Danio rerio: one gene and its partner. The protein of the gene in region 2 binds, or shares a complex with, the protein of the main gene of each other region. Links are inferred from orthologs where the notes say so. Each region holds a gene or a part of one and is shown on either strand. Other genes may lie near its edges.

Region 1 (16,316 bases), on a different chromosome or scaffold from region 2:
TCAGTTCAGTTTTCACAGGTGAAGTTCAGTTTAGTTTATTTCAGTGTTTTGTAAACATGACTGCTGCCCTCTGTACTATCACAATTGCATCTTTCATTCATACTTTGATCTTAATCAATTGTTTACAAGGAGCATCACACATTTCCGTAATTCTGAGTTTTGGTTTCAGAATGGAAGTGGTGACGTGAATGACCTGTGGCAGGTGGAGGTGTGTGGAGGAAGGAAGGGAGATCCAGTGAAGGTGCTGCGCAGTAAAGTGCGTTTTCTTCATCGCGCCACAGGCTGTGTGCTCTGCTCCTCTGGAAAGACCCTTCCCAAATGGTGAGATTATTTTGTTCAGCCAAAACCTCACAGCCGGTCTGCAATAAACATATCACAGAAAATACTGTGCATTTTACTACTCAACAGGGGATGGGAGCAAGTGGAGGTCACATGCAGCCCGTATGTCAAAGAGACCCCAAATTCGCAGTGGAACATTGAGGACCACATCAACCCTAAACGTATGCCTGTATAGCTTTTTTTTTAATATTGATTTAATGGGTAGAAAATTACAGTTTTGTTCATTTGCTGGTGTGGTGATTTTTCTGTGTGCACAGTGCCCAACATCAGTCTTGCAGTACTCAAACCCACTTTCCTGGAGATCCTCTGGGAGTCTCATATTGTGATGATCAGGGTAAGACTCTTGAAAGAAAATCTGCCTGTTAAAAATTGCTCTTCATGTGGGAATTGCTTCTAATTAAAGATAATCTCCCTATTAATAAATGTTCTACCACATGGGAATGATTTCTGAATTAAATGACAGTATTTTCCAGAATATAAGTTGATTAAAAGTCTTTAAACTGAAATGCACTGCTTTAATTCCAAAGTGATTTCTATAATGCAGTTAAGATCAAGAATGAGCAAAGCGCCACATATATGGGCTACTTTGTTTTATGCTTGCATTTCTCTTCTTCTGTTGCCTTTACAGTTTAATTTAGAGTAATGTAATGTGTGTTTATATAGCACATTTATTGTGTATGGCCATACACCTAAAGCGCTTTACAATCATGTGAGGGGATCTCTCCTCATCACCACTTTTTGTTGTGGAGTGTGGGAAACTAAAATCCCTATACTAAAACATTTACCCATTTACATTTTTTTTTTTTTTTTTGTGAATAAAAATGATCAAATGCAACTTCTTTTAAATGAACCAATATATTAGATTGATAATGTTTTTGTGTAGGGAAACAGTGGTTTGAAGCCCAAAGACAACGAGATGAACTCTAAACCCTGGCACTGGCCCATTAACTATCAGGTAAGTTGTGTATAAGCATTTTTAAATTATTATTATTGATGTACTAAAATTGATATAATTAATCAATATTGTGATTTTTCTTTTTTTAAAGTGTTATTGTATTTATAAACGAGGGCTGCAGCTATCGATTATATTAATAATCGATTTATCAAACACATTTTTTTATTTACTTTGAACATCTTGTGACTGAAATGGTTTTAAAAAGTCTATAAAAGCCAATCACAAATACACACACACACACACACTTATTGCAATAAACTTTATTCCAGGAAACTTTTTTCAGAAATATTATCATGCATTAACGATAAAAATCTTTTTAAATTTATGTAATCATTTGTTTGTTGTTTTTAATTGTATATTTATTACTGAAATGTTCTTGCCATGAAAATAGCGTTTGTTGCTGAGATGTCGTTAAATAACAAATTCATCTTCATAAACTTAACATGGGAAAGCTTTGTTGCTGCCTGAAGTGGTGTTAGTGAGTCCAGCAGGGGGCGCCCAACCTGCAGTCTGTGTGGCTCCTATACCCCAGTATAGTGACAGGGACTCTATTGACCTTATTCTAAAATGCGAAAGTGCTCCTGTTTTCGCGATTGTCTTAAAACTTCCAATTCAGTCGCCTATGGGAGAAATGACTAGGAATAATAAACGGCAGAAAACGGTCAAACTACTTGCTCTACAAACAAATGCTTGCATGGCTATACAGACCAAGTAGAATAATATAATAAGAAAATATCAAATTGCAACATCAAGCAGCGTAATGAGCAGTTTTTAACGTCAAAAAATGAATGGAGGTGAATGAGACCGGAAGTCTCAAGCCAAAAAGATTCAAATGGCAGCGCCCACTCGTCGGCGGAGAATAAGGTGAATACTGCTCAGTGAGTGCCGTCTTTCGCATGAGACGTTAAACCAAAAATCCCAGGATGTCCTTCGATAAAGAGGTTTAACCCCGGCATCCTGGGGTTAATCCTCAGGATTATATTATATTATTAATTATATTTAGCAAATCAAATAAATGTTAAACAGACAGGAAGTGAAGCGTTACTTTTTTTAACGAAGCGTTGATTACTGCAATTTGTGTCAATAATTTTTTTGATTATAAGTTTCAGCCCTATGATAAACCGTTACAATATTACAACATTTATTAATATTAATAATGATCTTTAATCAGTTTAAGTTTATTGTTAAAAATATTATTGTGCTTTTGTCATTTTAGGTAGATTTTGTTTTATGTTTTAGTCATTTAATACTTTTTAATTTTACCTAGCCACCTAAACAAAAACATATCTCATTTACACACGCACCCACACACACAGACAAAATCTCATATTTATCTCATATCTCTGTACCATTACATCACTATTTATTATTCACAACAGGGATTGAGGTTTTCTGGAGTGAATGAAACTGAATACCGTGTTTATCTCCTTGGAAACCCTGTAAGTGTCTCTGTCCTTTTTTTGTCCTCCATTTTCCAAGACCTCTTATTCCATCATTAGTAAATATCCCATCACATCCTCAGGTCATTTGGTGGCTGAACCTGTTAAGTCTGGCTCTATTTGTAATCCTGCTGACGGTGGCTTCATTAGCAGTGCAGAGAAGAGTGAAGATGGAGGGAATGATGAAAGGTAAGCAGCAATGCAGATGTTTGTGCTGTTTACAGTAAATGATCAGGTCTAAAAGAGTTGATGTTTTGTTTCAGTGCATTGTCACACACTTATGGAGGGTGGCGGGATGCTGTTTTTGGGTTGGCTGTTACACTATCTCCCATTCTACATCATGGGTCGCATACTCTACTACCATCATTACTTTCCTGCCATGATGTTCAGCAGTATGCTAACAGGTACAAAAGCTAACATGATGACTAACACACCACATTATCAACTGGTGGAAATCTGATGAGATTCTTATCACACTGACATCTTACCTGTGCACTGAAAATTCATAATTAAGTAGCTTTACTAAAAAATTACTAGTGGATTTGTAGAGACGTCAGCTTACTTTTCTAAAGACTTATTTTTATGAAACCTTTTTTTTTTACTTCTAGTTTATTATGGAGGTGAAAAGTTGTATTAATTAGTGTGCCAGCCCAGTTAAGTTTTAGACATTATCTTTTTATGTATTGTATAATATTGTCTCTAGTGATTTGTCTCTCAAAAAAGGACTGTTTCTGTCCTTCTTCCTGGACAGACCTACAAAGGCTGTAATAAATTTGCATAATGTTAATCAGTAGTCCTCACTGGCTGCCCACAAATTATGTATGTTTTGACCCTGCTGTAGTTGTAGCTGAGGCTCGGAAGGCTTGGTTTGTGTTGTGGAAGTTTTAAGAAGACACTGTTTTCTGCACTCTGAAAGCAAATACAGTTTACAGTTCCAATAAATTGAATTGGGTTCGTATGTTCACGTTAAAACAGCTATCATAACATTATCAATTTGATAACCCTTTGGATTCTCGGAAGCTATGGAAATTAAAAATGTAAAACAGGAAATACATTAGGACCATTGTTATTGTTTACATCCCTCAAAATGGTCTATATACACAATCACAACAGAGACTGGGCTGACCAATGAAAGCAGAGCCTGCCCTTGTTTAATATATTGTAAGAAACAATATGGACAATACGAATAGGATTAAAAGTGTGCTTTAACTCTCTCTCTCTAAATACTACTACTACTACTACTACTACTACTACTACTACTACTAATAATAATAATAATAATAATAATAATAATAATAATAATAATAATATTAATATGAATAAATTAAAATTATTGTTGTAGTTTTTTCCTGGCATCAACAACAAAGCCACATATGAATCCATTTTTAAACTTAGTTTGCAACTTGAGACTTAATCATTACACAGAATTATACTACAGGTCTTAATAAGATCTTAAAAAGGTTTAATGTGTCTTCTGCAAATTAAGGCCTTAATTTAAAGACATGGATTTTTTTTTTTTTTTTGAGAAATAAAACATACTTGAAAGACTTTATGCTTATATTGTCTTTTTGTAATCATAAATTGACTTCACTAATGAATACCTCAGAAAACAAGACTTCTCATGTGCTCTTTTTGCCTTGATCTTGATGTAAGAATTTGGCATTTTTCATTTAAAAACATTAGAAAAAAACATTAGAAAAAGCATCATATTTAACAAAAGGTACTCTGAAAGATATTCTATAGTTTGTTATTGTAAAGTTTAAAAGCACTGTAAATCAGCCTTTTTAAACACTGAAATTCTGCTTATTAATATAAATTACGTCCATTTTACTTTTCGAATATTGTGTTTGCTCTAATTACCTCCTTTTATGTTCTTTAGTTGCTCTTAAAATTACTTTCAGAATACAGTTAACAGTTTTTATCTGGATTTCTAATAATTTATCTAACAATATATAAAGTGTACTGTGGTCTTGCTGTGTTTTTATTTCAAACTGTGAGTCTGCAGCATTGCTGAACATATTTTTCAGGTTATTACATGTAATGCATATTATTATAACGCGTAATCCAATACATGTAATCATGTTTAATCTAATAACGAATAATCTAAATATAAAGTTTAAACCTTCTTTATTTAAGGTATTACTCTGGACATCCTCCTTCAGAATTTGCAGCTTCTCTTTAGCTCATCTTTATCTCATTACCTGATGAGGGGAGGTCAGTCGGTGCTCCTCTTAGGGTTTATCTACAGGTGAGTATCTACAAGTTTAGTTGTTTAAGAGGCTCATGTCTTTCAGAATATGTAACTAATTACAAAGTAAGTCCTATTTTATACATTATTAATATTGATACTTAACCTGATATTTCCGCTGTCGTCTGTTTTCAGCTTTTATCTTTTCCACCCTCTCTCCTATGGCATGAGAGGGCCGCTGGCACATGACTCTGCCTCCTCCATGGCCGGCCTCAGGTGGATGGAATCCTGGGAGTTTTAGACAAACGTTTTAAGTGTTTTCATAAAATGTTTTCAAAACTATTTCATTTGTTACATGTTGACATTTCCGTGTTGAAGGACAGCATTTAGTCTGATTTTAGGCTGTTGAAAATTTTTAAATAGTATTTTTGTATTGTATAAAATTACGATATTTTACAGTCATGTATTTTACATAAAAATCTGATGTTGTGCAACTGCTGTAGCTGGACTGAAATAAATTTATTAAAAAAACATTGAAGTGCCTTTCTAGTTTTGAAGATGCTGATGTATAAAGCATTAACCTTTTTGTTTGTATTTAAATCATTTCAGTTTGAGAATGTTTAATAGCATTTCTGTTTTAAAACTGTAATGTAATGAGCAGTCTTTCCTGAAAAGTTCAGTTGAGTTCGTGTTTGAATTGTTGATAAAAAAATTGTTTGCAATATTGTCTTTAAATTATTGTCTTAAATGCAAATTGTAAACAGACTGACTCAGGTGCATTTATTTGGATTTAGGTTGTGTTGCATTTGATACCAACACATTTTCTGGCTCAATTGACTGAAAATATATATGTTTTTCATTAATCACCAACATTGTAAGAGCTCTGTATTTATACTTGAATTTTACTTATTTAATTTTACTAATTATTTTATTTTTCCAAGTATAATAAAGTGACCTTCTGTCTTTTAGAGACATGATCTGTACAGAGGTGTTGATAGTTATTTCTTCAACCAGTTTTACAATACCATCCCTTTTTTAATGTCTTTTAAATGGGCCTTTTCGTATAATGCTATGTACAAAGCATTTGAAAATGGGTTGATCAAAGTAATAATGCTACAGTGAATGAATGATGTTTCTTTAGTGTTTTAAAATAAATAAAATGAACACTCTGTTAAAAATATTGATATGATACGTTAAAATGTGCTGAAACTAGACTTGTTTATGTTTACCAATAATTTTTATTTTTGGTCTATTTATAATTACTGCCTTTTTTGTAGCTGTACAGAAGTTTGTTCTGCTGTGTTTTTTGGCCTGACTGAGTCTTGAGTCTTATATTATATTAACACTATCATAATACTACTCAAGTACTCTGTATGAAAGCTAAACATATTAATGTTCGCATATTATTCATATATATTTTTACTTATTTTGCAAGAAAGAACGTTATCAAAGACACAGTTTAAACAAATAGACAGAAATGAATTCATAATTAAAATTCCAGCAAATTAAACAAGTTTAAATGATTTACACCAAGAAAGTGTTTTACATGCAATATAACTGTTAGGGTCTTTTAAAGAGTTCACATATAAAGTAATTTCTTAAAATAAAAAAGTAGGGTGTTTCTTTGAAAATTTACATTTATCGATGTAAATTTTAGGGGGGGGGAAACAATTAATTACAAATTTACAAGAATTCAGAAAGTATCTAAAGAATATAATTTTTTGTGGGAAATACAAAAGTTTGGAAATAATACAATTTTTGTGAAATTGGAAAAGTCAACCCAAATGACTTTACAATAAGTGCACTCCCAAAATAGGCCAAAAAGATTTAGTGTTTCACCATATTGAGTACAAAATGAGCATTTGAAGGAAATATTGTTATTAAATTTACCTAGTTTGTTGTTTATTGGGTAGCAATTATGAATGATTCTGATTGAGACTTCAACAGCTTTATTAGATAAAAATATGTATTTTTTCCGAATACCATCCAAGATCAATATCAAGAAAAGGCCATTAAAGACCATTAAAGAGATCAGAGAACTGTTAACAATAAAGAGAATCACTTTGTTTGACATAGAACTGAGAAGAGTTTGGTCAACAAAAAGGTTTGTGCTGTCAATAATATTTATATTCATATTTTTCAGTCAATTATTGCGACATCATTTTACAACATAAGAGGGTGTGGCTATTTTATCCAAGACCTCCAGTGATTGGCTGCTTAGAATCACGTGTGTTGTTGTCAAGATGGCGTCTCCGAATGGAGGTAAATTTTAATTCCTCTTTTCCCTGGCAGCGTTAGTTGTTAACGCAATAGTGCAACGGACTAATTAAGTCATATAAATCATTATGCGGTTTAGCATATTTTTTATAAAGAACTGATGGATTCTGAATCAAAATAAGCTTTTCAGTCGGAATAGCGTCATAAAATTGTTTGGAGCCAGTCATTAGCAAAGCTACGTGTCAGACGACATCAGTTGTGTAGTAATAATTTAATACGAATGTAATAGTGTAGTAAATACGCGAAGACATATTACTTTTGGTGTGTCGTGATTTTATCTTTAACGTTAGTTATGTAACTCATTATTTTGTGACAAGATTACTCAATGCAGCTAGCTCAGCTTTGAGTAACTTAGCAGCTGAGTAAACATAATATCTCTGTCATAACATCAGCTTAATTTTACACCTTGAATAATATGTGACAGAAGATTTTTTTTTGTAACGTCATCTAAGCTGAGTTATGTTAAAATTGAAATTGTGTATATTTAACATTTTTTATTGTACTTCAGGTTTATTGATCCTGTTGCTGATGAGTTTTCTCTGACCATAGAGCATTTATCTTTTTAATGTGTAGGTGAGGACTTTGAATCTTCTCTGATAAGTTTAGAAAATCTTGACCGGGCTTCACCTGACCTGTGGCCAGAGCAGTGTAAGTTTGACTCTCTAATCTTATTCAGTTGGACTAATATTTATGACACATTAACATATTTTTCCAAATATATGTAAAAAAAAATGCACTGATTGAAATATAGAAATTACATTTGATTATTACACATTGTCATATTTTTGAACGCTTTGTTTTTAACAGTGCCGGGTGTGTCAGAATTTGCAGCATCCTTTAAAAATGTGAGTAAATATTCAAATGATAATGAATACTTTTCAAAGTTGATGTGAAATTAAGGCTTGGTTTTTGTTATTTCAGCCTATTACAAATTCTCCACCCAAATGGATGGCTGAACTGGAGTCAGAGGATATTGAAATGTTGAAAGGTCTGCCTTTTTTAAAGTAGTATTCATATCAAGTCTTTTAATGTATCATTTAGTCTTTTATCTATGCTTTCTATATATTGCTTAGTAGAATAGGTTAATAATAGTTAGATGAGTTGCTTGGTGAATTCCAGGGTGTCCGCGCGGTCTTAAAAAGTCGTAAAATGTCTTAAACCTCAAAATTACATTTTTATGTCTTAAATTTACTGAAATATTGTGTTGTAGTTCCTAAATGTTAAATTAAATTTTTTTTAAATTAGGTCTTAATTTTCCTTTGTTTATGTATCGCTACGCAGTCTGGCCATTAGTCCTATACGATCACCAACAATTCATCTCAATAAAACCTTTTATATAAAAAGGTGATTTTTAACTCTGTTTACCATAACAGTTTTATTATTTTCCTCAAAATACATAATATTTGTTAAAAAGTGTTCCATGTATTTGCTGCTGAGGACACCGACCTGGACAGATTGTTTTGCATAGATTTAGTTATATTAAAACTTTAAAAACATTAATTCATTTTTTATTGTAAAGAAAGTTTATGTTGGAAAAATAAAGTGTATGTATACAAGTAGAGCTTGTTTGTTTTTAAACAATATTTGAATATTTTTATAAAAAATATCTAAAATATTTATTTTTTTATTATTAAATTATAATTGTATTATTAATATATAATCGTTTTTTGATGGGGCAAATGAAAAATCTTTTCCATCTGGGCCATATGAAAAATTCCTTAGCGATTAGTCCTTTATGAGTCTAAAATTTCATTCATAAGGGTCTTGAAAATGTCTTGAAGTCTTAAATTTAACTTTGTGAAACCTGCAGAAACCCTGGAATTTATAAAAGCTACAGTATAATATTTTGTTTCGGTTCTGGTCCATTTTTATTTTATTTTTTGTAACTTGTTTGTTGTGGCTTTTTTTTTTTTAGAATTAGGAAGTTTGACCACAGCAAATTTGATGGAAAAGGTGAAGGGTCTGCAGAATCTGGCTTACCAGTTGGGCTTGGAGGAGTGTAAGTAATGTCTTACTCAACTCAGAAATAGTGCATTAGTTCACACTGTTTATCTAGTTACGGTATATTGTAAGTCATCCACTAGATGGCGATATTAGAAAAAGAATAAAACTTACTGACAAACACAAACCCAGCTTTTAATACATAAAGACATTTTTCATGTTTTTTGCCGCTGTGATATTTAGGATAGAGTTAAAAAGACAATACAACAAATAATTCATTATATGTAGTCTGGAGCCTAAATCCATCTGAATCCTTGTGTGGAAAAAACACTTATTTGTTATGTTCTATTCGTTTATTTCAGTCTGTAAGTCTCAAATGAATTCCCACTCTATATTTAAACAGAACTGGCTTGTTGCCCAGTGTCTCTGTAATATTATATCACAGAATTGCTAGATGTAGCATTAATCCACGCAGGCAGGATTACAGGAAAGATAAGTGTTTCAGTTATTTTCTAGATGAAAATGGGCATCGAAACATCGCACAATTTGAAAGCGAGTACTGCAGACCATTGGTGAACACTCGTTTCAGATGTATTACATTCCTTCTGCTGATTTGACCTTTGTGTGGCATGTCCCTCAGAAAGCCCTCAACAAACTATGCTTCAATGAGAAAAATCAGTCAAATGCTTTTCTGTCTACTTGATTTTTACTCTACTATTTTGAATAATTTCCATAATGTTACAGAGAGAGGATAAAAAAAGCATCAGTTAATTTAAATAATTCAAAGATATGCATTTATATTGATTTAAAATTAAGCACATGAACCATTTTATTTGATAAAACTCTTACATGCACAACTGTTTCAATAACGTTAGTAGTTTTTAGATTTAGATTCATTCAGATTAACATTTTAATCTCCTCAAGCACTTGTAATATTACTATATTTGTGAATATGAAATTCACAAACTTAATAAAATGTATGATGAAACCGGTATCAATTGAATAATGGTTCTTATCATGGTAAACTGAGATCACATTATTATATTACTTCTCTTATAATTTCTTAGTTGTAAATATTACCTTTTTATTACTCAGCAGATATTTAAGGGACAGTATACGTTACATTTAATTTTTTTAGTTTCATATATGAGTAGCTTGAGTTTCTATATCCATCATGTCATATCTACAGCATTGTATCTGGGTTTAATAAGCCACATTTGGATGAAGCTTCCATGCTGCCTTTTATGCATACATTAATACAGTGTGTAATTATACATTTAGTCTGCTTGCATTTAATATCATTGCAAACCCACTTCAATCAAACTAGGTGTAATAAGTCAATCTAGATGTCTCCACCTCTAGTCATTGTGTCCTCTGCTTGTTGCTTGTTTAAATGCTCTCTAGGAAGGTAACACAATGCAAAATATTTGTTCATCTTAACATGAGTAAGAAAATGAATTTCACACAATGTTAAGCAATTCACAGTGCGTACATATTATACAGTGGGGAAAATAAGTATTGAATCTGTCACCAGAAAGCATATTTCTAAAGGTGTCAATGATGTTGGTAACAACCAAATAAATCCATACATGCAAATAAAACAAATCTAATTAGTTTACAAATTGAGTTATGTGTAATAAATTGAAATGACACTGGAAACAATATTGAACACATGAAGAAAGGAAGCCATAGAAAGGTAATGAAAGCCCAGACTGCAACTGAAATCTTTCATAAGTCATTCAGCAACCCTCTACCCTTTGTCAGTCTAAATTAATACTCGCTGCTTCAGTCCAACATCTACATTAGCAGGGTGATGAAGATAAAACCAGGGTGGACATTTTAGCAAGACAATGATTCAAAACACAGCCAAGGAAACTCTCAAATGCTTTAAAAGAAAATCAAACTGTAGAAGGGCCCAGCCAGTCACCTGACTTGAATCCAATAAAAATACAAAATAAAGCTCAGATTTGATAGAAGAAACCCACAGAATCATCAAGGTTTTTACAGGCTGTTGAAGTCTATGAAACCTAAGCAATTCATGTGACTTCATTCTCCACATGAGAGTTGTCTTTAAGCTGCCATCACCAAAAAAGCCTTTTATATAAAGTATTAAATATGTTTCAGTAGTTCAGTACTTTCTCCTTATGTTATTTCATTGTTATTACATAATTACAACTATTTTCTCAGATTTCTTTTGTTTTGTTTTATTTTTATGTTTGCATTGTTTGTTTTTTTTTTTAAATATTTCAATTCCATGTCAACAGCTCTTTTGGAAGTATGTATTCAATACTTATTTTTCCCACTGTTTAATCGCTACATCTGTTCTTTAGTGTATTTATAACATTTGTTTCTTGTATCACTGGTTACTTTAGTCTCTGCTCAAACCTGGTGCTGTAATGGGAAACGTATACCAGTAAAGTGATGAGAGGTCGCTTCGTGAGTTCACCGCTGACGTGTAAAATGAAAGAGTGCAGGATTAAAGTAGAGTTGTTCATCCACGATCATGCCAAACATAATTTATCACCGCTCTATGCTATTAATAGAGGATATTTAGCCGGATGAACTCCACACGTTTTGTATAAAACCAAATGTTCATGTTCTATAACTTGATATGACAATAATGTAAAGAACAGCTTGTCCTTTAGTGAAGGAAAAAAACTGACTGTCAGTAAAATGTGATGGAATTTACTTTAATTGGTAACATTCAGAAAGAGAAAAATTTTCTATATATTTTATATATGTTGCACTCATTGAAATGTTCATTTTCCATAAATTAATAAGCAGTACTTTTTTCATAGTTCATAATTATATAAACTTAAACAAAATTAGCATATTCAAAAGGATGGCATGACACTCGAGAACAGGACTGGGACTGCTTTGTCATTACAAAAATTAATAATATTTTAATTTATATGAAGAAAATGTAATTTATATGAAAACCATTTTTGACCATCCTTTCAGCCAATTAGCAGTAAGAAGCGTGTTTAACAACGATAGCAGAGATATCAAGAGGCAAGGTCTTGTTAGGTCAGCATCTTTTGTCAAATGTCTCTTAGTGCACCTTTTATATACAAAGCTATTATTTTAAATAATAAAAAAAAAATATATTTTTTTGCTAATTTTAATAATTGGTGAACAATCTTGTCAATGTTAAAATAATATTGTACATCACAGTGTTTATTTGTGCACTCTTATATGCTTCTTTTATTTTTTAAGTTGGACCATACTTTGCTTTGTTCATGGTGTCTGTTCAACATGCCATTGTTTCAACAATCTTATAGAGAGTCAAAATTATGTCTATCAAAAGCTGCATTACCTTTTGGCCAGAGATCTATCTGACCCTGAGGAGAACTACCCTGTCAGGTTTACTCTAGCATGATCCAAACACATTCAATTGACTTCAGGTCAATTTGTAGTCAAGTCATGTGTGACGATGGGATTCTTCTTTCGACACAGTTGTTTAAGAAAAAAAACAGCCATTCATTAATGAACAGTCAATTTTGGGTTAACTAAATTATAATGTCATATCAAAAACATATCAGATAAAATTTTAACAACAAAGATACATTTATAGACTAATTAAAAAAATGTAATGTGTGTATTTATATAGCATTATTTATATATTTATATATATTTATATATTTATATTAGGAGGGTCTCTTCACACCTACACCAAAATTAAAAGTTTCTTTGGATATACCGGATTTATTAGGTTTTGATTTTAGCAAAATGTCAATATTCATTTTGGTATAAAATAAATCTGGTATAAATGTATTTTTTATTTATTGCCATGTCAGCAACCAAGGCTATTTTCATAGCAAGAACATTTCAATAATGAATATACAATTTTAAAAACAACAAACAAATGAATACATAAATTAAATAAGTTTTTAGTGTTAATATGTGGTAACAATTCTTCATTTTTTCCTGGTTAAAAATGTCCTTAAAAGAGTTCATTTCATTTTAAAAAGTCTACTGGAATCATTAATACCAAGACAGTCCAGTAAAATGTGTTTTACAGTAAGGGGAGTTGTGCAGTACAAACGAGTGAGGTCTTCATCTTTAACCTCCTAGGGCTTAGTGGCCACTTACTTGGACAGCACATTTTAGATCTTAAGTGGCCATTTAAAATATTTTGAATGTTTTATATTTTGTTACAGACATACAGAGTCATCCTGCAACTGTTTTACAGCATATGAAATCTCCCAAACACCACTTTTCACTGTCCAAAGAGGGCAAAAAATGTTGTTTTTAACTCTCTGAAAGTCAAAACATGTTCAAAAAAGATATATATGTTATATATGCATTAAAAAACAGTCAGGAAGAAGTGTTTTATGTAAATTCGCACCACGAGTCCACGTATATGTACATCTTTTTTCTCTTAAAATACATTATTTTAAAAGATGATACTTAGGTTTTATTCTAATTAGGTTCCAATAAGCCCAATTAGCAAAGAGAAATAAAAAAAATGCATGTAAAAAAACACCTTGGGCCTTAAGAGGTTAAGTAAAAAGGCATGGATTAAACTTGTACATTGAAATAGGACATCTGGTAAAAAACACTTTATCAAATAGTCTTAAAATGTCTTAAAATTCTGTTTGAGATTTCATACAATTTATAATTTTCTAATACGACCCACTCCTCTTGCCATATTTAAAATGTAAACGTTGATAAAAGGTCTCATCTCTAAAGTAGCAATATTAAGGTCTAGTATGGTTTCTGAAAAAATTTTAAATAATAATTTTAATAATTTAGATTTTCAGTGTTCTGCAGTCAGTTTTTGAAAATATTGATTTCTAAACATCAGAGTTAAAACATATTTTGGGCCCTATCATACACCCGGCGCAGTGTGGCGCAAGACGCGGCGCAAAAGTCTTTTGGTAGTTTCAGTTTGGCGCAAGAGTGGTTTTGAGACGTTGCACTACGCTGTTTAAATAGCAAATACATTAGCGCTCATTTGTGCGCCAATAGGCGTTCTGGTCTAAAAAGGAAGGCGTTCTGAGGCGGACCGCTGGCGCGTTGCTATTTTGAGAAACTATAATAGATTTTTCATTAGACCAAAACTAACCCGGTCTAAACTCCGGGTTATTCATATAAATAGTGCATTAAGAGAAACAAGCTATATGCTCTTATGACTTTTTATTTTACGGTATACCTAAGAAAAGACTTTAAATACACAATATGGTCACTGAGAAAATGACTCTAATAATCTACAAATAGAGAAAGCGTAAGAGTCAACTTGGTTCACGTGTCACTTTAATAACCAATCACATTACAGACATAATGTCCATTGACTTTCTGTCAGTTTGTGAAGACCATAGAAAATGCCAAGACGTTTGTGCTGTAGGATGTGTGGTGGATCCTAACTGGCAATATTGTCCCAGACTGTAACTGCATTTTCATTCAGTTGTCCAGTTGATGGAGTTAATCATCTGAAGTCTTTGATTTATGTCTGAACTTCATTAAAATGTTGCCGCAGCTGAAGATAGTCCAGCACAGACTAAAACATTTACTGTTTGTTTATGTGTGCACAGTCACCTTTTGTGAGTATTATTTATACATCTTAAGGATTGTTCAATTGGTCTTGCATTAGTTCGGTGTGTAAATTAATTGAATCTATGCACCCTAGTATAAATATTTACTTTATTGGTGCATAATTTGTTCATATTTTTAGACTTGTGACTTATTATACAGACTTTTTTTCTGGTGTAAAATTTAAAATTAAGGTAATCCAAAACTATAGTTAAAGGGCAAGTGTTTCAAAAGTTAGCCAGTATGCTGTTGATTCCTAAAACAATAACTTTCCTTCTCCTCACAAAAACAGCATTGTTTCTTTTTCAGCATATTTATTTTTTCGTTTTCATTTCGGCTGAGTCTTTTCATTAATCCGGGGTTGCCACAGCCGAATAAACCGCCAACTTATCCAGCACTTTTTTTTTAACGCAGCAAATGCCCTTCCAGCCGCAACCCATCTCTGGGAATTTTTTAATGTAGCTTAACATAGCTCTAGTAAAAGTGAAACTGTGTCATCTCTTCTATTGACGTCCATTCGTATCTTGTCTTCTAAACTGATGCAGCCAGAGCATTATATTTACCTTTTACTCTTTTCTTTTGGCTAAAACTTGCAGGCTTGCCTTTGTTATTGCACATTTGTACCCATATAGACCCCTTTGTATGCATTTTCAGAATACTTCAAGATGCATCACATGGCTGTACTCTATTCTTGCATAAATTCATTATATTACAAAATGACATGATTGCGTCATTGTAGTGTTCTGTATTTCGATGACAAAGATATTTTAAACACACGTTCTTGTATGCAGTGCCGCTCGCGCTGAGGAGACAGATATGAAATTACGATTATGATTGGGCTCAGAGCAGCATTTAACGCGCCACCCTTTAATGTGCTGTGGTTTAATTTTCTTCCTTCTCCTGGCTGTCAGGGGAAGCCTTGTAAATCTGAGCTACTTTTTCATCATGTTTCTTTCTCTCTTCAGCGCCTTTAAACGAGCTGACGAGAGATCGTGTTAGTAGGAGGAGGAAGATTTACTGCACCTTTGACATGCCGGCCATTAAAGTCTTGATCTGGTTAATGGGGATAATGCAATCAGGCAGTGAAAACTCACCCCAAAGGCAAGGTTATCAGCCACACGTTGTTATTATATATTTATTTCGCTTTTGCGGCTCGGGCTCATGCGCATGTGGAGCTTTTAGATGCATTAGTTGCATATGTTTATGGTGGAAAAATATGATTAACGGCAGCATATATTAGGCTTTGATTAATTGTGGTATTATGTTAATCTTAAAATGAAGCTTAGAAATGTTTAAATATGTGAATTTTAAGCATTTTTAATGTCGTTGCTGCTGTTGTTGAGTGGATCAGCACCTTCTGTAAGCAAATCTCTATAATCTATCTGTACTATCTGTATATATACAGTTGAAGTCAGAATTATTAGCACCCCTGATTTATTAGCCCCCCTGTTTATTTTTTTCTCCAATTTTATTTTTAACAGAGAGAAGTTTTTTTTCAACTCATTTCTAAGCATAATAGTTTTAAAAACTCATTTCTAATAACTGATTTATTTTATCTTTTCCATGATGACAGTAAATAATATTTGACAAGATATTTTTCAAGATACTTCTACTTCTACAAGATACAGCTTAAAGTGACATTTTT
Region 2 (15,619 bases):
CTCCGTTTAAAAACGCCATGGAAAAATACGGCCCTTTGCGGCCACTGGTGAGAACATTTACTGAAAACTCTGTTCAGCCTGCATTAATGCATTCAGTATAAGCTGCATGATTAATCAGTAAAGATCTGGATTGCAACACCCACGCAACATACATTATAAATGCTTCGAATCGCTGCATTCAAATCTGTTCGAAAAACGCAACAATCAGGAGATTCAGTCTTTAGTGTTTTGAGATCGTTATGAAGTTACAGACATGCAAATAACACGGCTATACTGAAACAACAGGTTATAGTTTAGATAAAACCACTTATGTTTATGCTAAAGATTAAAATCACCGTCATTTTCATTAAACTTGACGCTTAAATTAATATTGAAGGCAGCAGTTACATTAGCCCCTTTCACACATACAGACCTTTCCGGAAAATTACCGGCAATTTTCCGTAAGGTGTGTATGTGTGAACAGGCCCTTTTTGAAAATACCGGTAAATTCCTTCTGGCTATTTTCCGGAAAGAGAAGTTGTAACATTACCGGTAATTTGCCGGAATGCTGCGCTGTAGGAAGATTGCCGGAAAGATGTCCACGTCTAGAACGTGCTGACATGAGACGTCTACTTTAGCCAATCAGAACAGTCAGACGCATTCACGTCTGCACAGTTTATGAGAATAAAAGCCTTTGAATATTTTTCCAGACACATTTAGCTGCTAGATCTTAGTCGGATAACGTTTATATGTTCATCTTAATGCCAACTGTGTAAATAATCAGCGATAAGATGTTTATGATAATCCATTGTTTGTTTACCTTCAAGCTTTGCGCATGCCCGTGAGCGCCCATAGCGCCAGCACACATGCATATCATGAACATCTCGACATGCGAAAGTGTTCCTCCAGATGTTTTCATTGGAGTTGTACTCAATACTGATCCATCCAAAGAGTTTGTAATGTAGTCAAATGTTTACAAACACAAGCTGTGTGAACGCTCTTTTTCCGGAAAAATTCCGTAAAGTCCTCGCCTGAGTGAACAGCGCTTTTTTGAATTTACCGGTAAAGTCGTTCCGGAAATTTTCTGGATATTTACTGGTATCTCTGTGTGAAAGGAGCTACTGTTTAACCAATAGTTGGCAACAACCAGCCGTCAAAAATGCGCCACTGAATAATTCTTCAGAAATGATCATCTAGCAATGAAACATGACGTTTAATGAGTGAATAACTCAATCATTTATTGAGGATGAGGCTTAAAAATAAATATGGATTGTACAAATTAAATTAGATTTCTACATTTAGGGTTATCAGCAGCAGTAGGAGTAACGGTGAATTTGTCTACTGAATATTTTACAATTTATTTTTATTCAGCTGATTATTTCTTCATGTTATTTTTATTTAAATGACAGGTGTTAAGTTCTGCTTGTTAAAACCAAAAGTGTCTTGCAGTGCTGATTTTACAGTATTATTTACATTTATTATAGTATATTATTTAAATTACATTTTTTGTCTCCCCCCTCTTCTGAAAAATGGTCCGAGCCGTGACTAATATACCATAATGTGATCCGAACATAGAGATTTGTGATCCGTTACACCTCGAATGTTAACTCGAACTCATTGAAATATGCCTGCAGTGCTACAGAATCCTGTGTATTTGTTTCTTTTGCTAGTCCAGATATAGTTGATGTATTATGGCTACAAATGAGACCAACATAGTGATATCTTACATTTCATTCATGATCACCTTAAAAAGTCTTCAGTTTGACCGTATGAAACCTGCAGAAAGTCTTACTATAAACCTCTGTGGTGTTAAAACAAAATAGTTTAGTCCTTTTTGCGTCGTAAAAAGATGCTTAAATCCTGGATGTTTTTCTCCCACCATTGTGTTTCACAAAATATTGTTTCTGTCTTTGCTTTGGGCTATTTTCTTCAGCCTCCAACCCCAAATCTGGAGGAGGATCTTAAAGAAGTGCTGCGCAGTGAAGCAGGAATCGAGCTGATCGTAGAAGATGAAGCTCCCGCTGAGAAGAAACGCAAACAAGTGGTGAGAGATCTGACAGGGAAAGAGAATAGCTCCATTTCCAGTCATAGTGGATCATTAATACGTCTATTACTGATGGAGGTTAAGACCAGAAATTCTGATAACTTCTTTTATTTTTAAAAGTTATTCATTTGTCTTTACCTAATAAAAAGTGCATCTTTTAACTCCAGTCTTGTGAAGAAACAAATTAGGACACTATAAAAGCCTGAGGGTTAAGGTGTCCAAATTTTTCCTTGCATTTTTGTAGAATTACCAGGGTTTCTGCAGAGTCTTAAAATGTCTTAAATCTCAAAATCTAAATTTTAGGCCTTAAAAAGTCTTAAAATTACTCAAATATTGTGTTGTAGGTCCTAAATCTTTTTTAAACGGGTCTTAATTTTCCTTTGTTCATGCATTGTTACCAAATCTGGTCAAAACCCATACAGTAATCAACAATCATCTCAATAAAACTTTAAACTTTTAAACTTATTCTAGTTTTTAAAACATTTGTTCATTTTTATTTTATTTTAAAGGAAGTTTATGTTGTAAAAAGTGTATGGATACGACTAGAGCTTGCTTGTTTTTACACAATGTTTTAAATATTTTGCTAAAAAAATGTATTTTAAAACGTTATTATTAATGTATTATTGTATTATTAAATTTATTAAATTATAATATTTTTGATCTGGCAAATAACAATCTTTTCCATCTGGGCCATGTAGAAAATTATTGAACCTTTAGCCATTTATGGGCTAAAATTTCATTCATAATGGTCCTAAACTGTCTTAAAGTCTTAAATTTAACTCTGTGTAACCTGCTGAAACCCAGAATTACATTAACAGAAGATCTTAAAGTCTGATTAAACAATCTGATTAACTGAAGATCTTTAGTTTTAATTGTTTAGTTATATTACCTTAACCTGTCTGTATTTTTACAATTGAGATTAAATAAATAAAATAAACCTTAAAATACTTTTCCCAAAAAAATTTTAATTAATGCACCCATTTAATATTAAAATCATTTAAAAGTGTTTTTTTTTTTTTAATAAAAAAAAAAAACATATTAGCATATGCAAAATATGAGTTTACATATGTACTGAGAGAATGAGGAAAATGGGTCTAAATGATATGCAATGTGGTGCAGATTCTGGTATTTTACATGCACTAAAGGTTCTCATATTGCTTGTAAATCAACAATATCTTTATAACTTTGTAGCCGACTAATAAAAATGAACAAATGTATCTTCCCAAGCCTCTAAACATCTCTAATCATTTGAGGAAGATGATCAAAGCGCTGAGGAACAGAGAAGGTAAAGGTTCTGGAAAGAAAACAACTTATCATGTGATACTCATGATATTGCTGAACTTTCAAAGTTGTCTAAAGTGTTTCTTAAGTATTATATATTAATAATTCAGTAAGCCTCTGTTGCTTTAGTCTTTATATACTATTATTTTTCGGGGTTTATACCTTTATTCGATAGAACAGTAGAGAGTATTAACAGGAAAGCATAGGGAGCAAAGAAAGGGGAAGGATCTGCATAGGACCACGAGGATGAATTGAACTCGCGTCGCCGTGAGCACCGGAGTGCATGTGTCGACGCACTAACCACTACACCACTGGCGCCGACATCTTGAATTATTTTCATCAAAATCAAACCAATTATTGAGATTACTTTATAAAAATCAGTAAAGATCTGACAGCAAAGAGACATTTAAACCCTGATCTGCATGCATCAGATTGTGTGTCCGGTTTAACCTTTGATTACATTCATATCAAGTGCAGCCTTAAGTGATTAAATGTTGATGTATTCAATGATTATCCTATTTCATTTTGTAGCTGGATTTGCAGTGAAAGCAATCTGAGCTGCTGATATGGAGTAAACCTAATAAATTCTCGTTTTGTTGCTGGTTTGCTGTTATATTGAATGATCTGTGTCTTCTTCAACAGTATCGGCCTCCTATGAAGAAAGTGCGTAAGTCTTTGGCTCTGGATGTCATCGACTGCAGTGAAAGTGTTGCTGCACGAAAGCAGCAGATTAAAGCCACAGTCAAACCCAGTCAGAAGGTACAGAAAACCACACTGGTGTTGCGTTTATCCTGGCCCTCTCTTCAGATGTAAAGTGTTATTGAAAGAGTTTCTGTATTCACAGCCTCAGACGGTGCAGCCGGAGCCTCCGGTGTCCTCATGTGCTGTGAAGGAGGAGAATGTTCTGGATCAAGGCTTTATTCTGGGTCCTAATGAAAGTGGACCTGCCTCTAAACCAGTGCTGGCAACACCCAAAACTATCTCTCCACTGCCTGTAAGTAGCTGTAGATCACACTCTGCTCATGTTACGCATACAGGACATCATTTCAGGCATGTGCTGATCTCAAACATGCACACCGGCTCTGATCAAGGAGGTGTACTTTGTTTGGAAAAGGGTAGTTACACGGCTCCACCTCGTGTACTGGGTTATTTCTGTTTGAAAACGTTGTCCAATGTCAGATATTTCTGAGTATTTTAGATGATATGAGGTACTCCTAAAAGACTAAACATGGCTCATTTAATTGTTTTGTTTTCTGCTGGTTTATAACATCAGAAACTGAAACCAGTTGTTGTTTTTTTTCTAACTGGATTATTTATATTACTTTGGTTGTTGTCAGCAAATACAGAATAAGCTCAACATATTCTAATCAATTAATTAAGAAATTAGGCAATTAATTTAACTTGTAATGCCTACTTTTGTATTTTTTGTAAAACTTTTCCATTTTTATGTGTATTTTTCTGTATATATTATAGAAAAATAGGGTGGAATTTGAAAATGCACATGGGAAATTTGTCATTAAATAAAACCAATGTGTTAATTGAGCTCATGTTAATAAACTTTAATTGGAAAAACATTTTACTAAGTAAAATCTGAAAAATGAATGTGCTTATTAGGTTTTCAGATGCGTTTTCTTCAGTCCAATTGTAAGTAAAAAAAATAATGCATTTAAGTTAAAGGTGCCTTTCTTGGCACTTCAGGTCTTCATACATCATGTCAATAAATATAAATAATAAAAAGCACTGTAGAAAGAGACTTGAAAAGGCAGCTATGAGGAAAATCATTTTTTGTAAGCCTTTTAGACAGAACTGTGTGCAGGTATAGTGTTTCCACAGTCAAACTGGAGTGATGTAAAGACAATAAGTCTTACTCTTTTAACTTCCTAATGTTATAATAGCATCCAAATCCTGCAAGTTTGAAGCCGACTGCAACATGACATAGCACTGCGGTTTCCCCCACCCATGAATTGATTGACAGCTGCATGTGAACATGTCTCCATAGTAACGCGTACAATCATATCCATATAAGAGGATGTGCGCAAAACAACTGGGATTAAAAGATCTGTTCTGCTCTTTTATGACAATTTGCATCTCGAGAATGAGTTTTACAAGTTTAAAATGCTTTTAAAGTCGTGCATATTTGTAATAAAGTAAAGACTGTGTTTCGCTGTAGTTCATCGTCATAGCCGCATGTCTGTACATTTATAAAAGAAGACGTTTCAGTCCCGGTTTGTGGACTTAAATCAGGTTTATTTTGTACATCAACAGTGGATATTAATGTGTATCCTGTCACATTTAATGTGCAAAGCTGTGCGTGCGTGTACGTTTGTGTGTGTGACTCATCATTGCAGAAATAATAAACTCCACAACAAATGCCTCCAATAACCATTAGAAAAGTTCTTACTGTAGTAAGGCAGATCTGCTTCATTTGTGTCTGTCACTGTGCTGTTTATCTACATGAGACGCAGCAGGTGAAGGCTACATCCATCAGAGCAATACAGAGAGATCTCTGGCTCTGACACATGTGGGAACAGTGGGCGGGGAGAACCAGCTCATTTGCATTAAAGGCACGGGCAACAAAAACATCTAAAGTGTCCTAACAGCTCAAATTTCCCAGATTCAGAAAGCTATAATAAATAAACTGATGGGTGTTTTAAGCTAAAACTTTACAGACACATTCTAGAGACACGAAAGACTTTAATTAAATCTTGAAAAGGGGGTAAAGTAGGTGCCTTTGCCAAAAACTGCTAATGTTTTGTTATAAATTAATTAAATGTGCTGTTTTGTCTGCAGCAGAAAATAGTTGAGAATATTTTCATTAACTTAAAGAAAAGCAACTTAAAAAAAAAAATTATAGAACAAAAAAAAGTCTTAATTATCTAATAATTTTCTCTTCTGACAGATGTCTGCGGCGTGGGAAACTGTTGTCTGCGGACGGACGAAAGATCAGCTCTTCATGACGGAGAAAGCCAGACGATACCTTCGCTCTTTAAAATCTCACACCCCAAACCGAGCCCTCATCCTGTCCTGAGCCACGTTTTATTTACAAAACATAATGCGTGTATGGAGGAGGAAAACCAATTGTAAATGTTGTGTAGAATATGAACCCAATTACTGTTCCAGAATAGACACTTTACTGCTGATGATGCTCTCGTCCTGTTTCCTGTGGCGCATCAGCGCATTCAAACACCCTGTATAGAGAAGTGCTGAGATTTTCTCTTATTTATCTACTGTCTACAAGCTCCTGACATGCCAGCAAACATGTATTCTGCTCAAGAGTTCGTAATCAGGTTTCTGTTTTTATAATTGAACTCGGATTGTGTAAGACTCAGCATGGGATGTAAACAGGAAAAGGCTGACTGTTTTCCTGGGCTTTGTAAACCTGGTCATGCTCTTCTGCAAATATTAGAGTTTGTAAAACAGCCTGTTGGGCCTCACATGGGATGTTTTGAGGACTTAAAAGGACAGTTCACCCCAAAGAAATGAAAATGTGGTCATCATCGACTTGTTTCAAACTTGTTTAAGCATCTTTGTTCTGTTAAACACTAAATATTATATATTTTTTAAATGTTGGAAACCTGTAACCATTGACTTCCATTGTATTTGTATTATTCCTTCTCTGAAAGTCAATGGTTACCGGTTTTCAGCATGCATTAAACACATATTAGTGTTTAAGAGAATAAAGACACTCATAAATATGAATCTGGTAAATGATTTGTATTTTTAGAGATGACGTTTCTCTTTAATTGATAATGTACAGAAGCTGTTACTTTAATTTCTTTAAGTAGAAATGCTATAAAAGATGGATAGATGTCTGTTGTCTTAATGGCAACACTGGAAATGAGCACATTACCTTATAGCAGGGCTGTCCAAACTCGGCCTGGAGGGCCGGTGTCCTGCTGAGTATAGCTCCAACTTGCTTTAACACACCTGTTAGGAAGTTTCTTGTACAGGGATGTCAAACTCCATTCCTGGAGCGCTGCAGCCCTGCACAGTTTTGGTTCCAACCCTAATTAAACACACCTAATCAAACTAATTGAGTCCTTCAGAGTTGTTTGAAACCTACAGGTAAGTGTGTTGGAGCACGGTTGGAACTAAACTGAACTGCGCCCCTCCAGGAACTGAGTTTGACATCCCTCTTCTAGTATATCAAGTAAGACGGGTGTCCAAAGTTGGTCCTGTAGGGCCAGTGTCCTGCTGACTTTAGCTTCAACTTGCTTCAACACACCTGCCTGGAAGTTTCTAGTATACCTAGTAAGAGCTTGATGAGCTGCTTCAGGTGTGTTTGACTATGGTTGGAGCTAAACTCTCCAGGACACCAGCCCTCCAGGACTAAGTTTGGACACCCTTGCCTTATAGCCCTGCTGAAAAAATCAGCTTAAACTAACCTAGGCTGGCTTTAGTTGTTCGACCAGCCTGATTTTAGAGGGGTTCCAGCTATTTCCAGCCTGCTTTTAGCGCGTCAGGCTGGGAGATGACCAGCTTAAACCAGCTTGACCAGCCTAGACACGCTGGAAGCCCAGACAAAATCAGCTACGTCCAGCTTAAAGCAGGCTGATCAAGCTGGGTTTAGCTGGTGATTTTACAGCCTGACCAGCTAAGACCAGGGTGAAAATGACCATACCCCCTCTAAAACCAGGCTGGACTAGTTTAAGCTGTTTGTTTCAGCACGTGTAAGTCACAGAGACGTCTACTTGTTGTGTGTGTTTACATCTGGAAGACGTCTCATGTAGACGTTAAGTAGATGTGTAGAGAATGTCTTTAAGATGTTGATGATTCATAATGTTTGTTAAATAGACCTTTTAATGACCTTTACCAGATATTTGTACACATCAGATGATGAACAGACCAAACAATCTTTAAAATATGACTTGCAGTTGAATATGTGCTATCTGGCTCAAACTAATGTCCAAATATCAGGAAAGAAAATAGCTGATGAACTTCGTAAACAGAAATGGGAACAGTTGTATGTAGTTTTCATAATATAACTGTTCAGAGATCAGTCAGGATCAGTGCTCAACATGTTTTCACCATGCTTGCGTACATTTCCATGCTAACAGATTTGCTCCTGTTGTATTATCATTGTTCAGCTTGGGAATACTTCATTAAGATTCATGTTTTGTTCTTTGTGCTTTGTCTGTTTGCTTATTCTGACATTTCTACTGTCCACCAGTGGAGAATCAATGCTGTAAAATAAACCCTGCTTATCATTCACACGTCTCCTCACTAGAGCCAGCTCATGAGTCAGATGTTAAAGGGGTTAGTTCATCCAAAAATTGTAAGACATTTGTGCTGCCCATTATATTACAAACCACAGGAGAGGGACAATTCTCCAGCAGGATAGCACTCCTCATACTTCAGCCTCCACATTAAAGCTCCTGAAAGCAGAGAAGGTCAAGCTGCTCCATTATTGGCCAGACCAGTCACCAGATATGAACATTATTAAGCATGTCTGGGGTAAAATGAAGGAGATGTTGAAGATGAACACAAAGAGTCTTGATGAGCTCTGGGAGTCCTGCAGGAAGGCTTTCTTTGCCATTCCAGATGACTTTATTAATCAGTCATGTCAGAGATGTATGGATGCAGTCCTCCAAGCTCATGATGGAGTCAGACACAATATTCATTCTGTCTCCACTGCAGCAGGACTTTATATTCTATACTGGACATTATTTCTGTTCAGTGATGAGACTTTAGTCTGAGCAAAGTCAGACCTTACTGTCCTAATCAAATCATTAATAATCAAGGCATGATCAGATTTTATTGTGCTCAATTAAGCAAATCTAGAGGCCTTTGCCTTTCATATAAGCCACTTCTGATACCAAATGATCAACTAGAAGTCAAGTTATTATGTGTTGTTCCTAAAACTTAGATAGGCGACAACACCTTTGTCAGGGAGGCTAGTTTTTAAAATCAACTTCACATAGCCTATCATGTTACAGGAGGGGTTTTCATAACATTACCTGGCAACCCAAAGTGTTAAGAACTCGCCCAGGCTAGTTTTTAAGCGTATTGAAGCCTAAAACTGTACGCTTATGATTGTTTACTAAAATTTTAATTCTTAATAGTGTATGATAGATGCCTTTTGATACAATAATTCACATTTATTTATAATCTGTCGATGTGTGCGTGTTAAAATCCACAGTTCCCTCGTGAAAACAGAGATTAGCTTTCATTTTCGCTTCAGTGTCAGTTTCTCAGGTAAAACACTGACAGCTCGCATTTATCGGTGAGTAAAATTAACAAGTAGCCTAGTTTTGTCCTTCTGACAGTAATATTATTTCCCTTTTCAGTAATATTGTGATGTTATGTTTGTGTCGACTGATATTACAGCTCCAACACTTGTTAAAGAGGGCTTCACTTGAACGTCGACAGACATTGACGCCTGCAGTGAGTAAAACACAAGTAAATAATGATAATAAATGTTCAGTGTAATATGAAATGACTTGTCTAAATGTTTTCCCACATCATTATACGACGCTAAAACTAAACCAAACGAGTTGAACGCTACTACTACAACAGCAATGGCTTTAATTTATGGATTTTGTTGTTTGTTTGCTTCATTTCTATGTACTGAAGGCCAAAGTTTTCTCCAGTTGTGTTTGTTGCTCAGTCTCAGACATGGCAGAGGGATTCAGGTCAATGGAGATGGGCGAATATGTGAGTAATTTTCAACACAACACGTTTGTTTTTGTGAATTGTGGGGACATTACATTGTTTTTGTACTGTACGAACTGTATTTCACATCAACTATATCCTACTATATTTGACTATCTTCTTTTAATACCCATGTCATACAGATTTGTGTCCTGATGTCACAAAACAGACCCTTGAATCATGATTCTTCCGATGTCATGTAAATCAAAGATGTATTTGTCAATTGGTTTATTGTATTATTTCATCAGAAAAATAAGATAAAAAAGTTTCCAATTGATTGCATAATGTAGTTTTTACCCACACAGAGAATAGTAGTATAGTATTGGCTATAGTGTTTTTGAAATATTATGTATATTCACAACACACACTGTTAGTGAATGATTAAGCATACTGTGGTAAACTTTAGTTTTTACAATAGTAAACTGGTGTATTGTTGTATACTTACAGAAATCTACTAATTAGTTTATCTTACTATATATATATATATATATATATCATCGTAATTGCATCACATGACTTAAGCAATCCATCTGAAAACACTGTAGTTTCACATGTACAGTATATGCTACATTCAAAGGTATATTATAAGTAAAACTAAATTTTTTTAGAATCTAATTGAAATTGTTTATAAATCTGTTTATTTTATTATTGTTTCCCTAAATTGCAGGACTTATATACAGCAGGTGATGAAGACTCGAGGTCCAGTTTGTCAGACTGGAAGCATCTAAACCTTATTATGGATCGGCCAAGCTTACTGCTAGAGGAGGTATGAGCTGAAGAGTATAAATAAGCCACACATTTAATATCAGTCATACAAACAGAAGCCAAAAAAAAAGTTCATTTTCATTTTAGGTTTATTTACAAGTTTTATAGCGTGCATCTAACTGTTATTCGCAATATATTGCATTTTTCCCTTGAAAGTGAGCAGGGATTCTTTTGGATACGCAATATAAACAGTTATGCATACATTATAATGCAGTAAGAATATTATTGTTGATAATAAATAGGATTATTTATTATGTTAAACAACATAAGGGTCATTAACAGGAGATTATGCAGGCATCTATATGTAGATTTGGCCACTAGAGGGTGTGTGTTCACAACAAACAAAGGCATGGTTTGATGTATTTGCTTACTTGCGAGGGCGGAGACTTAGTGGTTAGCACTGTCGCCTCACAGCAAGAAGGTCACTGATTCGAGTATCGAGTTTGCATGTGCTCCCTGTGTGGGCGTGGGTTTCCTTCGGGTGCTTCGGTTTCCCCCACAGTCCAAACACATGCGCTATAAGGGAATTAATTGAACTATTTTGGCCGTAGTGTATGTGTGTGTGTGAATTAGAGAGTATATGGGTGTTTTCCAGTACTGGGTTGCAGCTGAAATAGTTGGCGGTTCATTCCGCTGTGGCGATAAGGTAATAATGCTTACTTAAATCAACACTTTTCCCACAACAGGATCTTTATACTGCTGGTAATGAAAGACCCAAACCTTCAGCACCACTGGATATCGGTAAATTAATGATCAAAGTGGACTGGACTGAAGCATTTCCAGACAGATGGAGAGCAAGATTACAGATCGCCCTTCAGTCGTGGTTGTCAAAACTAGAAGAAAATGCAACGGTCCACACTATTAAGCTCATGGATGATCCGTCATTTGCAGAAGTGCAGATAACTCCATCAACAGGTGACGGTGATTCACTTCAGTCAATTCAGTCTATGCTGACATTATCTTCAGCAGCTCAAACACTCTAATGGCTGATGGACAGACGGCTGCTTCTCACTCAGGGCTGCTGTTTATGCTAATGAGGGAGAGATGCGCACTAGTGGGCGGGGCTTTCCCCCTCTGATGACATCATACAAAGGGAGAATGTCAATCAAAGTGTTCCTGCAGACTGCTCTGATCAAGTCTGATTATAAACAATAGATTTAATTCATGTTTACCATTAGAAGCTGGATATATTCACACACTGCTCACACACAGCTGTGTTTAAACCTCTTATACAAGTGTTTTTTGCAAAATAGCTCCCCTTTAAACAAACTGCACTTGGTTTCATCTTGTTTAGACATTGGAAATTGTATTTTGTTTCTTGCTTCAGTTGTTTACATGTATTAATGTCATAGGGCTCTCCATTACATAACCTCTCTATACTTCTCTACAGCTCTAGAAGCTTTAAAGAAGCTGAAGTTTATACCTTTGAGGTTTAAAAATGAAAACAGGGAAGTGACTGCGTGGATCTGTCCTGATGGAGCAACTTATGTGAATGTACCACACAAGTCCTTGCTGGAGGGGAACAGAGCTACTTTACTAGAGGTATCATGTTAATTTTGTGAGTAATTATGACAAAGTGCATATTAATTTAGTTAATTAAATTCATTAAATTAAAGTTGGACAGCAGGCGATGCGGTTGCACAGTGGTTGGATATTCGCCTCACAGCAAGAAGGTTGCTGGTTCGAGCCTCGGCTGGGTCCACAAGTCTAAAGACATGCAGGACAGGTGAATTGGGTAGGCTAAATTGTCTGTAGTGTATGAGTGTAAATGAGTGTGTGTGAATGTTTCCCAGTGAGGGGTTGCAGCTGGAAGGGCATCCGCTGTGTAAAACGTGCTGGATAAGTTGGCGGTTCATTCAGCTGTGGCGACTTTGGGTTATAAAGGGACTAAGCCGAAAAGAAAATGAATGAATGATTGAGTTTGACAGCATGGTAGCTCAGTGGTTAGCACTGAGGCCTCACAGCAAGAAGGTCGCTGGTTCAAGTCCCGGCTGGGTCAGTTGGCATTTCTGTGTGGAGTTTGCATGTTCTCCCCGTGTTGGCGTGGGTTTCCTCTCGGTGCTCCGGTTTCCTCCACAGTCCAAACACATGCACGATAGGGGAATTGATCAACTACATTGGCCATAGTGTATGAGTGTATATAGGTGTTTCCCAGTACTGGGTTGCAGCTGGAAGGGCATTCACTGGGTAAAACATATGCTGGCGGTTGGTGGTTCATTCCGCTGTGGCAACCTCTGAAATAGAGAAGGAATTGCCGAGGGAATTGATGAATGAATGAGTTTGACAGCAAAGCCTGTTCATAACCAAAGAAAGCTCCTGAACTACTACACTAGCAATGAAATTAAGGAAAATAAACTAGAACTAGATGAACACAAGAGTAATCGAGAGCCTAAACAAGACTCCGGTGAACAGTATAGGATCAAGCAGAGCCTGATATGCAACTTCAGCCTAATTTGGATGGTAATTGTGTCTCATGGGGACATCTGCAAAAGAAAAGTCGACACATTCTCAGTAACAGTTTTATTTATTCACTTATAAAGTTTGCATGTATTTCCTAATGCAGGACATTTATACAGCTTGTGATGAAAAACCTCCAGCATCACTGGATTTTGGGAGATTTAAAATCAAAGTGGACTGGGCTGAAGCATTTCCAGACAGATGGAGAGCAAGGTTACAGATCGCCCTGCAGATCTGGTTGTCCAAACTGGAAGAAGCACCAGTTATTCACAGCGTTAAACTCATGGAGGATCCGACGTGTGCAGAAGTGCAGATAACTCCAGCAACATGTGAGTCACTTTAATACATTTTAGCTGAAATCTTGAGAATCTTGCCTCACAGCAAGAATGTCACTGGTTCAAGTCCTTACCAAGCCAGTTGATGTTTCTGTGCAGAGTTTACATGTTCTCTCCGTGCATGGATGGTTTTCCCCGGGTTCCCCGGTTTCCTCCCAACATCTAAAGACATGCAACATAAGTGAATTGACTAAACCAAATTGGCACTATAGATGAGCTCAGTCAGCAGTATATCTCTCCATAGCAATCCCTAATTTGTCATTAGCATTAATAATCAGGGGAGTTCTCGAGATCTATCTGAGCTCAAACTCCCTAAACGGGAGGGAGCTCCGGGCTCGAGGATCTTCTGAGCTCAAGGCTGTCTCCCGGGACAGCATGCCAAACACGCTTTATAATCAATCATCAGCTAAGTGTGAACTCTTGAAACCTGTTTTAATTTTTTTCTCCTGAACACAAATGAAGATAGTGTGAAAAATGTTGGAAACCGGTAACCATTGACTTCCATAGTATGATAGTCGATGGTTTTTAGCATTCTTAAAAATATCTTCTTTTGTGTTCAGCAGAAAAAGGAACCACTTGATGTTAAGTAGTGAGTACATTTTCAGTTTTGAGTGAACTGTCCCTTTAAGACCAGTAAAACATCATTAAAACAGTTCAGTTTTATTTGTCTGGTCATTTCTTGTGCATATGCATTAATGTATACTTTTAAACATGTGCATTAATGTACTCCTGTTTCTCCGTAGCTCTAGAGGTTTTGAAAAACCACACAGCTACACCTTTAAAGTTTAAATATTATGAGGAAGGTAAACAAAGGAAAGTGACGGCACGGATTTACCTGGATGAACCACATGCCTTCCTGCCAGAGAAGATCAAAGCTCCATCACAACAGGTGTTTACTTTGTGTATAATTAAGTCTAAGGCACAATTAATCTAATAAGTTAATTCATCAGTTTTTTTAGGTATTTATTTTTGAGAGATTTACTAAGCATATACATAGAAGTTTCCTTCATTTTTTTACAGTAGTAGCAATAGTAGCAGCCATAATCATAACAACAAAGATAGTAACAAACATGCAAAAAAAAAAAAAAAAGAAAAGAAAAAGAAATCAGTGTGGGGCAAACAGTTCTTCACACCTTGCTTGCTTTCTTTAAATGTTTTTTTTTTCCTCCAATCTTGGTTGCTTACAACACACTCATGCCACTGTAGTTTTATAACAAACCCTTTAGTACCTTACTGTTGTGCCAAGTACCCTTACGAAAGTACCTCTCAGTGGAAATGTCAATAGAAGTTTTGGTAAAACTGTCAGAAACAACAATACATAACCAAAGAAAACAGCATCTGAGTATCTTTTAAGCTCTTTGCAGACAAATCTTTGACTTGTAGGTTGTAACCCTAAAAAATATTCCATCAAATGTTTTAGGTGAACAGTGAAGCAGAAGATGCAAACAATGATGCTTTAAATGGAAACACTAAAACTGCTGAAGCGACTTTATTCACTCTTCCACTCTATCAGTACTGGTCCATGCATAATGCTTACAGAAAGGAGTTGGACCTCATTGAGAAAAACCTCGATGTCTCTATTGAAGCAGAGGTGTCGGTCTCAATCAAACCTACCAAGAGCTGTAAATCACTGTCTAAAGCATCTGAGGACTTTCAGAACCTAGTTCAGCAAAGTGTGGGTAATTACAGTGATGCTGCTGTTAATCATAATGACATGGATTCAGACATTATGAAGGAGATCCTGCGTACCATTCAATTAGAGGAGCCAAAGATGATGTTCACCAAGTCTGCTGGTAATTGCCAGATCCTTGGACCAACTAAATTTGCAGATATGACTAAAAGAGAGGTCGGTACAACAAGAGTGGAAAACAAAATCAATGACAGATCATTCTCAATGGATGTAGACAGCAAGGCTTTTCCACAAAGCAGACCTTCATTGGACATGAACACAAAAGATCTTCCAACTCAACTTGAGATGGACGAGGTTCACTGGGATCTGATGAAGCTTTCATTTGAGGAACAACTATCAGATCTTAAAGCCAAATATGGGGTGTCATTTACTGCAGATCTTCATCAGGGGAATGTAGTTAAGGTTCAGGCTCGATCT

What was found.
Region 1: the proteins of mybl2b (region 2) and lin52 are in contact, whole or in part, in a crystal structure (PDB 6C48), measured with the Homo sapiens proteins. The link is inferred for Danio rerio from reciprocal best matches to the Homo sapiens genes MYBL2 and LIN52. Residues at the interface, in NP_002457.1 of Homo sapiens: Trp663, Val666, Ala667, Gly669, Thr671, Asp673, Gln674, Phe676, Lys680, Ala681, Gln683, Leu684; in NP_001019845.2 of Homo sapiens: Gln84, Ala87, Tyr88, Gly91, Leu92, Glu94, Ser95, Met98, Thr99, Lys102, Phe103, Leu107, Glu108, Lys109.

The regions. Positions count from the first base shown.
Region 1 is NC_133192.1:33,270,077-33,286,392, reverse strand, and holds the start of lin52 (protein lin-52 homolog), read left to right. Parts: upstream 1-7,152; 5' UTR 7,153-7,164; coding exon 7,165-7,183; intron 7,184-7,771; coding exon 7,772-7,846; intron 7,847-8,005; coding exon 8,006-8,043; intron 8,044-8,119; coding exon 8,120-8,186; intron 8,187-9,113; coding exon 9,114-9,197; intron 9,198-16,316. Other genes in the region: pomt2 (protein O-mannosyl-transferase 2), read left to right, coding at 170-321, 409-500, 597-673, 1,223-1,294, 2,674-2,733, 2,817-2,922, 2,997-3,137, 4,870-4,981 and 1 more.
Region 2 is NC_133186.1:1,646,269-1,661,887, forward strand, and holds the end of mybl2b (v-myb avian myeloblastosis viral oncogene homolog-like 2b), read left to right. Parts: coding exon 1-47; intron 48-1,912; coding exon 1,913-2,023; intron 2,024-3,946; coding exon 3,947-4,063; intron 4,064-4,148; coding exon 4,149-4,298; intron 4,299-6,203; coding exon 6,204-6,332; 3' UTR 6,333-8,515; downstream 8,516-15,619. Other genes in the region: uncharacterized protein dtex3lb.1, read left to right, coding at 9,920-9,958, 10,623-10,721, 11,407-11,635, 12,111-12,262, 13,284-13,506, 14,256-14,401, 14,933-15,619. UniProt on the Homo sapiens protein: Transcription factor involved in the regulation of cell survival, proliferation, and differentiation. Transactivates the expression of the CLU gene.